Notamacropus eugenii: one gene and its partner. The protein of the gene in region 1 purifies or fractionates together with the protein of each later gene. This does not show direct contact. Links are inferred from orthologs where the notes say so. Each region holds a gene or a part of one and is shown in the gene's direction. Other genes may lie near its edges.

What was found.
Region 2: the proteins of POGZ (region 1) and CHAMP1 purify together in Homo sapiens (affinity purification with mass spectrometry; 4 studies listed by BioGRID and IntAct, with this or other methods). This does not show direct contact. The link is inferred for Notamacropus eugenii from reciprocal best matches to the Homo sapiens genes POGZ and CHAMP1.

Annotation. Positions count from the first base shown.
Region 1 is NC_092873.1:305,320,673-305,324,421, reverse strand, and holds the start of POGZ (pogo transposable element with ZNF domain), read left to right. Parts: upstream 1-1,539; 5' UTR 1,540-3,749. UniProt on the Homo sapiens protein: Plays a role in mitotic cell cycle progression and is involved in kinetochore assembly and mitotic sister chromatid cohesion.
Region 2 is NC_092877.1:206,038,343-206,042,091, reverse strand, and holds the start of CHAMP1 (chromosome alignment-maintaining phosphoprotein 1), read left to right. Parts: upstream 1-871; 5' UTR 872-894; intron 895-1,329; exon of another isoform or gene 1,330-1,614; intron 1,615-3,749. UniProt on the Homo sapiens protein: Required for proper alignment of chromosomes at metaphase and their accurate segregation during mitosis. Involved in the maintenance of spindle microtubules attachment to the kinetochore during sister chromatid biorientation.

The DNA of each region.
Region 1 (3,749 bases):
AGTATTGCTAGGTAGGTGATTCTTGGTTTTAATCCTTGCTCCTCTGCCCTTTGGAATATCATATTCCAAGCCCTTCAGTCCCTTAACGTAGGAGCTGCTAGATCTTGTGTTATTCTGATTGTATTTCCACAATATTTAAATTGTTTCTTTCTGGCTGCTTGTAATATTTTCTCCTTGTCCTGGGAAGTCTGGAATTTGGCTACTGTTCCTTGGAGTTTTCCTTTTAGGATCTCTTTCTGGAGGTGATCAGTGGATTCTTTCAATTTCTATGGTTCTAGAATATCAGAGCAGTTTTCCTTGATAATTTCGTGAAAGATGATGTCTAGGCTCTTTTTTTATCATGGATTTCAGGTAGTCCAATAATTTTTTTGATCTCTTCTGGATCTATTTTCCAGGTCAGTTGTTTTTTCAGTGAGATATTTCACATTGTCTTCTATTTTTTCATTATTTTGGTTCTGTTTTATAATTTTTTGATTTCTCATAAAGTCTTTGGCTTCCATCTGCTCCATTCTAATTTTGAAGGAATTATTTTCTTCAGTGAGCTTTTGGACCTCCTTTTCCATTTGGCCAGTCCTGCTTTTTAAAGCATTCTTCTCCTCATTGACTTTTTGGACCTCTTTTTCCATTTGGATTAGTCTGTTTTTAAAGTGTTATTTTTTTCAGTATTTGGGGGGAGGGTCTCCTTTAGCAAGCCGTTAACTTGTTTTTCATGATTTTCTTGCATTACTCTCATTTCTCTTCCTAATTTTTCCTCTACTTCTCTTACTTGATTTTCAAAATCCTTTTTGGACTTTTCCATGGCCTAATTCATATTTTTCTTGGAGGCTTTTGATGTAGAAGCTTTGACTTTGTTATCCTCTGGTTGTATGTTTTGTTCTTCATTGTCACCAAAATAAGATTCTATAGTCTGACTTTTTTCCTCTGTTTGTTCATCTTCCCAGTCAAATACTTGACTTGCTAACTCTTTGTTAAGGTAGGACTCTGTTTCTGTTAGGGGTGGGGGTGGGTGTACTGTCACAGGCTTCAGGAATTTTGTATCAGCTGCTCCATCCTCCATTGTCTGTGGGTCCAGAGCTTCCAGAAGCTGCTCCTGCCTGCACAGCCTCCTCCTCTGCCCAAGGGCTGGGACCAAATCCGAACCAGACCACACCCCTCCACCAATCAGGTCTGACAGAGTTTTCCTACTGACTTTCTATGCTGTCTTTGGCATTTGTGGGTTGAGAAGTCTGGAAACTGCCACAGCTGCCAGCAGTTTAGTCCCCTGAGGCCTGCTCCTACCTTGTCTGTCCTGGCACAGTCCACCCCAGACTGTGCTTTACCCAGCTCCCAGCTTGGTGGAACAGACGCTTCCTCTTGATCTTCCAGGCTGTCCTGGGCTAGAGATTTCCCTCACTCTGTCACTTTGTGTGTCCTGCAGCTCTAGAATTTGGGTAGAGTCATTTTTTACAGATATGTGCAGGCATTTGAGGGAAGAGCTCAAGCAGGTCTCTGCTTTCCCTCCATCATCTTTGCGATCCCATTTATTTTTGTACATTGTCAACAGTTATGGGAATGGTTTGGTGAATAAGTAAAACCTTGAAACCAATGGCTAAAATGAAGGTTTTGGATAATGTGGATTTCAGTAGTGCATGGTGATTCATATTTTTATATGAGAGCTAGCATGTCACATAAGAAATGATAGATTAAGAGTGTGAGGATATTTGTCTAGATTCCAGCTTTGCCATTTATGATCTGTGTGATCTTGGCCAAATCACTTAAACTCTCTGGACCTGTTTTCCTCATCTGTAAAATGAGGGGTTTTGGATCAATGGATCTATAAGGTACTTTCCAGCTCTAAGTCTGTGATATTATGACCATGGTTGGTTCCATATCTTGGGTCCTTAGGAAAATACAGATGATTTTCCTCTAAGTTGAATTGTGATCCTTTGATTGTAAGCGCTGTGTTTTAGCATTGCTGCTTCACTTATTTCTCATGTTTAAGGTTAAGAAATAGTAATGGGACACAAAGATCCCCTTGACATCTTTTTAAAGACACATCAATTTATCTTTTGCACTTTCCCAACAAAACACCTGTACTAACCCTTCTATGAAAATATACTTCCTGAAAAAAAGTTAGTCTTTTAGCTTCAACAGAATAATACCAAAAGAACAGTACAGTTGACCAGAGTTTTGCTGTTTCTCTACTGACATTTATATTGTAGTTGTTGTGTATGGGTTTTGGGGCTCTACTTTTTTCACTCTACATCACTTTTTATGCAGATCTTCCTGGGTTCCTCTGAATTCTTCTATTTGTCTTTCCTTGTGTTATACACATAATACCGCATTACATTGTTACCATAATGGACTGGCCCTTCTCTAGTTGTTGAGACCCAATACCTTTCATTTAAAAAAAAAAATCTATCACTTTTCAGCCCTTTCTTTTAAAAGAGCCACTCTGAATGTAGGATGGTCAAATTTAATTATTTCCATTTAAAGAAAATTTGAGCATGTTCTTATTCATGCTGTCTTAAGAAAAAAAAACAAAGAAGCCAAGCATTCTCTTGTGATAATGCAGATTCAATAAAATAAACATTTTTAAACTGTTTATGGTGGTCAAGGTACTGTCCTAGGTGCTGAGGATACAAAGGTTAAAAAGCAGAGACACATTTAAAACAGTATGAATGATTGAGATTGGACTTCTGGTTCAAACTTTGGGGAGGGCCATACAAATTTGCATAGTAGTGACTTGCTGAAAGACTAAGGTTTCTAATCAAATAGAACTGAATTCTGGCCTTTCAGAAATGAGACCTTTCCAGCTTACTGAACTCATGTTCTGAATATTTGCATGCAGCTGGTCAAGATTAAAAAAAAAAATTTGTGAAAATGCTCTACAAATATTAGTCCACAGTTGGTATTAATTATTGAAGCTTAGTAATAATAAAATCTGTTGTATCAAATTTCTGTTCACATACAGTGTGGATAAATAAGACAGGCAGAATAGTAGATAGTCTTGGACTTGCTGGGATGTGACTTTGGACAGTCTCAAAAGTTAGTCATCAAGCATTTATTAAGTCCTTATTATGTGCCAGGGACTTTGATAAGCAATGGGGACACAAAGAAAGGCAAAAACATAGCCTCTCCCCTCAAAGGAGCTCATCATGTTCTAATGAGGGAGACAACATGCAACCACTTGTGCCTGCAAGATGTATAGATACAGTGTAAATAGAAGGCAATCATAGAAGGGTGGCAATAGTAGTAGTAAGGGAGATTGATAAAGGATTCTGGCCAAAGATTTAAGCTCAGTCTTGAACCAGGAGGCAAAGGTGAGGAGGGAGAGCATTGCAGGCATGGTGGATAGCTACAAAGCAAGAAAATGTAGTGTCCTGCAAAAAAAAAAAAAAAAAAAAAAAGCAAGGTGTCCAAAGTGACTGGTTCAGAGGATACATAGATGAGAATAAAGTATAAGACTACATAGACAAGAAAGGGTCAGGTTGTAAGAGGCTTTAAAAACCAAACACTGGGTTTTAAATTTGTTCTTCTAGGTGATAAGGAACCACTAGAATTTATTGAATGTGAAGAGAGTGTGATACAGTCATAAGTGCACTTTAGGAAGATCATTTTGGAGGCTGAACTGAAATAAAGGGGGGAAGGCAGGCAGGAAGACCAGTCAGAAAGCTATTGTAATGAATAGTCCAGGTGTGAGGTAATGAGACACTGCACTGCACCAGTGTGATAACTCTGAATGGAGAAAAGATATTTATGAGAGATGC
Region 2 (3,749 bases), on another chromosome or scaffold:
TATCTGGTCACTGGACCCAGATGGCTCTGGAGGAGAAGTGAGGCTGGTGACCTGCACAGCCCTCCCTCACTCAAAACAAAGTCCAGTGAAAGTCATGTCATTCTTTCTTTGATGGCGTGGTCTTCTTCAGCAACGAAGGATGAACACACAAATTGCAAGGACACTGGCATCTGTGCTTATAAAAGGAGGTGGGGAGAGGAGAGGAAAAGAGATGGGCTAAGAGTTTGACAAAGTTTATATAAGGCACAGTCCTTGCCCACAAAGAGTTACGGTTAATGACCCTTCGATGTTTGGAATTAGGAGACACGCACATGAATGCTGGCTCTGCCACCACGCTACCTCTCTGGACCTTGGATTATTCATGTGTGAAATTCTGCGAGCGAGGCTGGATGACTTCGTCAGGTCAGGTGTGAACCCTAAAATTTACACCCACACACCGGGGAGCTTTTGGGGAAGAATTCAATCAACAACAGGACCAGACAAAGAAGGAAACCGAACCTCCCTTTAAGATCTGCAGCTCGTCAGTCTCGGAGAATTTGTCCCGGGACAAAGAGGTCGACGTCTTTCCTCCCCTCCACTAACTTTACAATTCTGCTTCGCTGGTCTACGGGCAGTTGCTCGCACACCAACGAGCCATGTACCGACTCCGGACCTTTGCACTGGCCGAACCTCATGCCTATTATTTTCGGTGGCTCTGAAGACTCAGCACAAATCCCACCTTTCCCAGGAGGCCTTCTCGGGTTCCTACACCCCCCTCTCCCCCCGCCCTGCCCCCGCTTCCTCTGGGGTACCCTTCCATCTACTCTGCATAATTCTCGGGTAGACCCAGCGATTGGCAGATCGTTTTCCCCATCGGAATGCCGCTGCGCGAGGCCAAGGACGAAGCGGACCGAGGTGGGGGCAAGGCTTAGAGGGGGAGGGGACCGCTGGGGGCCTGGGGTGGGGGTGGGGAGGGGGCCTCCGGGTGCCCGTCCCGCGGCCGAGTGGCCCGGGTGGAACAATAACGCGGAGTAACGAGCCTATCCCGGGTGCGGCCAGGCTGGCAGAAGGGGCCTGGAGCCTCGCCTCGCCCCTCCCCCCGGACAGCGCGGACTACGTCGTGGGCTCCTCTAGGGGGCCTCCTTCCAGCGCGCGCCGCAGCCCCGAGTCCGAGGAGGGCGCGCGCCACGGCGGGGGCGGGGTGGGGGAGGGAGAGGGCAGGAGGCTAAGAGACGCCACGGCATTTCCGGTTCAAAGGACCGCCCACTCCCCCCTCCTCGGAGGCTTCTGGGGATCCTGGCGCTGATTGGGCGACGCGAGGAAACCGCGCCTCGGAGGAAAGTGGAGGCGCCAACCTTTCTCGGCATCCCCGCCCTCCCCCCCCCCCCCTCCCCGCACGCGACCACGCGCACGCTCGCGCACCCGGAGCAGCAGCCTCAGTCGCTGCGTCTTCGCGCCGCCATTCGGGAACGGAGCCGCGCGCGCGCAGCAGGGGCCCGCGGACCCCGTCGAGGAGGCCGCCGCCGCGTGGCCTCCGTTCCGCTAGGAACGGACTGTCCCGGTCCCACCCCCCTGGCCCGGCTCGCCCCCTCACACCACGTGTCCGCAGCTGCCCCCTCCCCCTCGCCCTGCACGGTAGGAAGGCGCGCGCGGAGCTGGCTTAACGGGGGAGGGGGAGGGGCTGCGGTGTGTGTGTGCGTGTGCGCGTGTGTATCTGGGCGGATGGGGGAGGGGGCAGTCCGCCCTCCAGCCCTTTCGTGTTTTGTTCCTGTGCTCGCCTTTCATGGGATGGCGACGTGCCAGCCTCCAGTCTGATTTAGGGACAGAATCCTCGGTCTTTTCCTCGTAGGAACCGGGAAGGGCTGCAGGGGCAGGCGTCGGGCCTCGCGTGCACCAGCGTGCCAGCTGCCCCGCCCGGGAGTAACCCTAAAAAAGCCTCTGTTCCTGGAGGGGGGCTGTAGTAGTTAGAGGAGTGAGATTCCGACGTGCTTCGCCACCTGCTCTCCCGTGGTTCCGGGGCATTTCTCTGCCTAAATCACATTGCAGTTTGGAAAACGAAGAACCAAACCAAAAACCCAGTAGTTTTTCCTTGCCACTCTAGAAAGAGGTAGCCCCGGGGGGCGAGTGCAGGATGGCACCAGATTGGATTAAAAGCCCCATGCGAGTGGAGAAGAGCCTCTGAAAGCCCGGCGCGTGCATTATCTTCTCTTCGCTTTCCATTGTCTAGCTACAGAGTATCTATTTATGTTAGGATATTTAGTATCCGGTAAAGAGTGAAGATCGATGACATCCACTGCACCGGATAAACACAAGATCAATTGTGTAGCTTTTTTTTGCAGGCTACACCCTAAAATCCTATCATACAGCGTCTTGTCTGTAGTTCGCTATCAAGAAAGGTTTGCCAAATGTGTGTTTCATAAGTAGAATAAATGGTTAATCGATAGTCCACAAAAAAATCTTTGAAAAATAGGTAGTTACCCAAGATACAAAATGGATGTGAATCTGTGGTACGTATAGAGGTATGATAAATCAGTACCAGATGGTGGGGATGGCAAAGCAGGACTCTTAGTATCATCAAAGATTAACGTGCATCTCTTTAGAAAAAGAAGTAGATTTGTGGTAGAATGAGGTGAGACTAGGTGCTGAGTTTTGTGGGTAGGTTAGAATAGGGCAAGAATAATTTTGGTTGATAGATACTGGTTATAATTATTTGTAGATTTAGATGTAGTTAGTGAGAATGGTTTAAACATTGCTCAGTGATTTGGGCCTTGGAATTTTGAAAGTGAAAAATTCGTAGAGGTTAATTATGTATTCCGTATTACCTTCAAATATAGATACTGTTTCTTCAGTGTTCCTGAGACGGTCGTCCAGTCTGTGCTTGAATGCTTTAGTGACCGCAAATTTCCTGTAATGTGATACAATGTACCCCTCATTGAATAGCTTTAGAAAATTCTTTCTTCTGTTGAGTCAAAATGTTTTCTTGTAACATCCAATTGGCCCTAATCCTGCCCTCTTGAGCAACACAAACAAACCTAATCACATTCATATGACACTTTCATATAATTGAACATAACTCTCATGTTGCCCCTTGTGAGCTCCTTGCCTTTGTTTGTATCCCTCAGCACTTAGCACAGCCTTTAATAGATACTTGGGTTTCATACTTAATAAAAGCTTGTTGACTTGCTTCTTTTCTTCAGAAGGTGAAGTGTGCACAGCTCACTCATCTGCCCCACACAGGACATAGTTTCAGCATTTCTCAACATCTTGACTACTTGTCTCCAGAGTTTCTCTAGGTTGTCCTTGTCCCTCCCAAAGTGTGGTGTCCAGAAGTGAACATGATACTCTCAAGGCAAGAGTGCTGTCTTGGCTGCCACTCTGAAACATTAGGCTCTCCATGAGTATGGTGGTATGGCAACCAAGAGAGCTAACAGGATCTTATGTTTCAGAATGTATAGTACACAGGAAGAAATTGTGGTTAGACCACATCTGGAGTATTGTGTTCAGTTAAGGGTTTCACATTTTAGGAGGGACATTGATAACTTTGGGAAAGTGTCCCAAAGAGAGGTCAACTTAGGGTGAAGAGCCTCTAGAAGAGAAGGAATGGGGAGGTTATGATAGCTGTTTTCAGGTATTTGAAAAGCTGGCACATGAAAGAGGTAGACCTGTATTCCTTGGTCCCAAGATTCAGAGGAAGGAGCAGCAGGTGCAGAGAGGTTCATAGTATCAGGAAAAAACTTCCTAACAATTAAAAAAGCTATCCAAATGTAGGA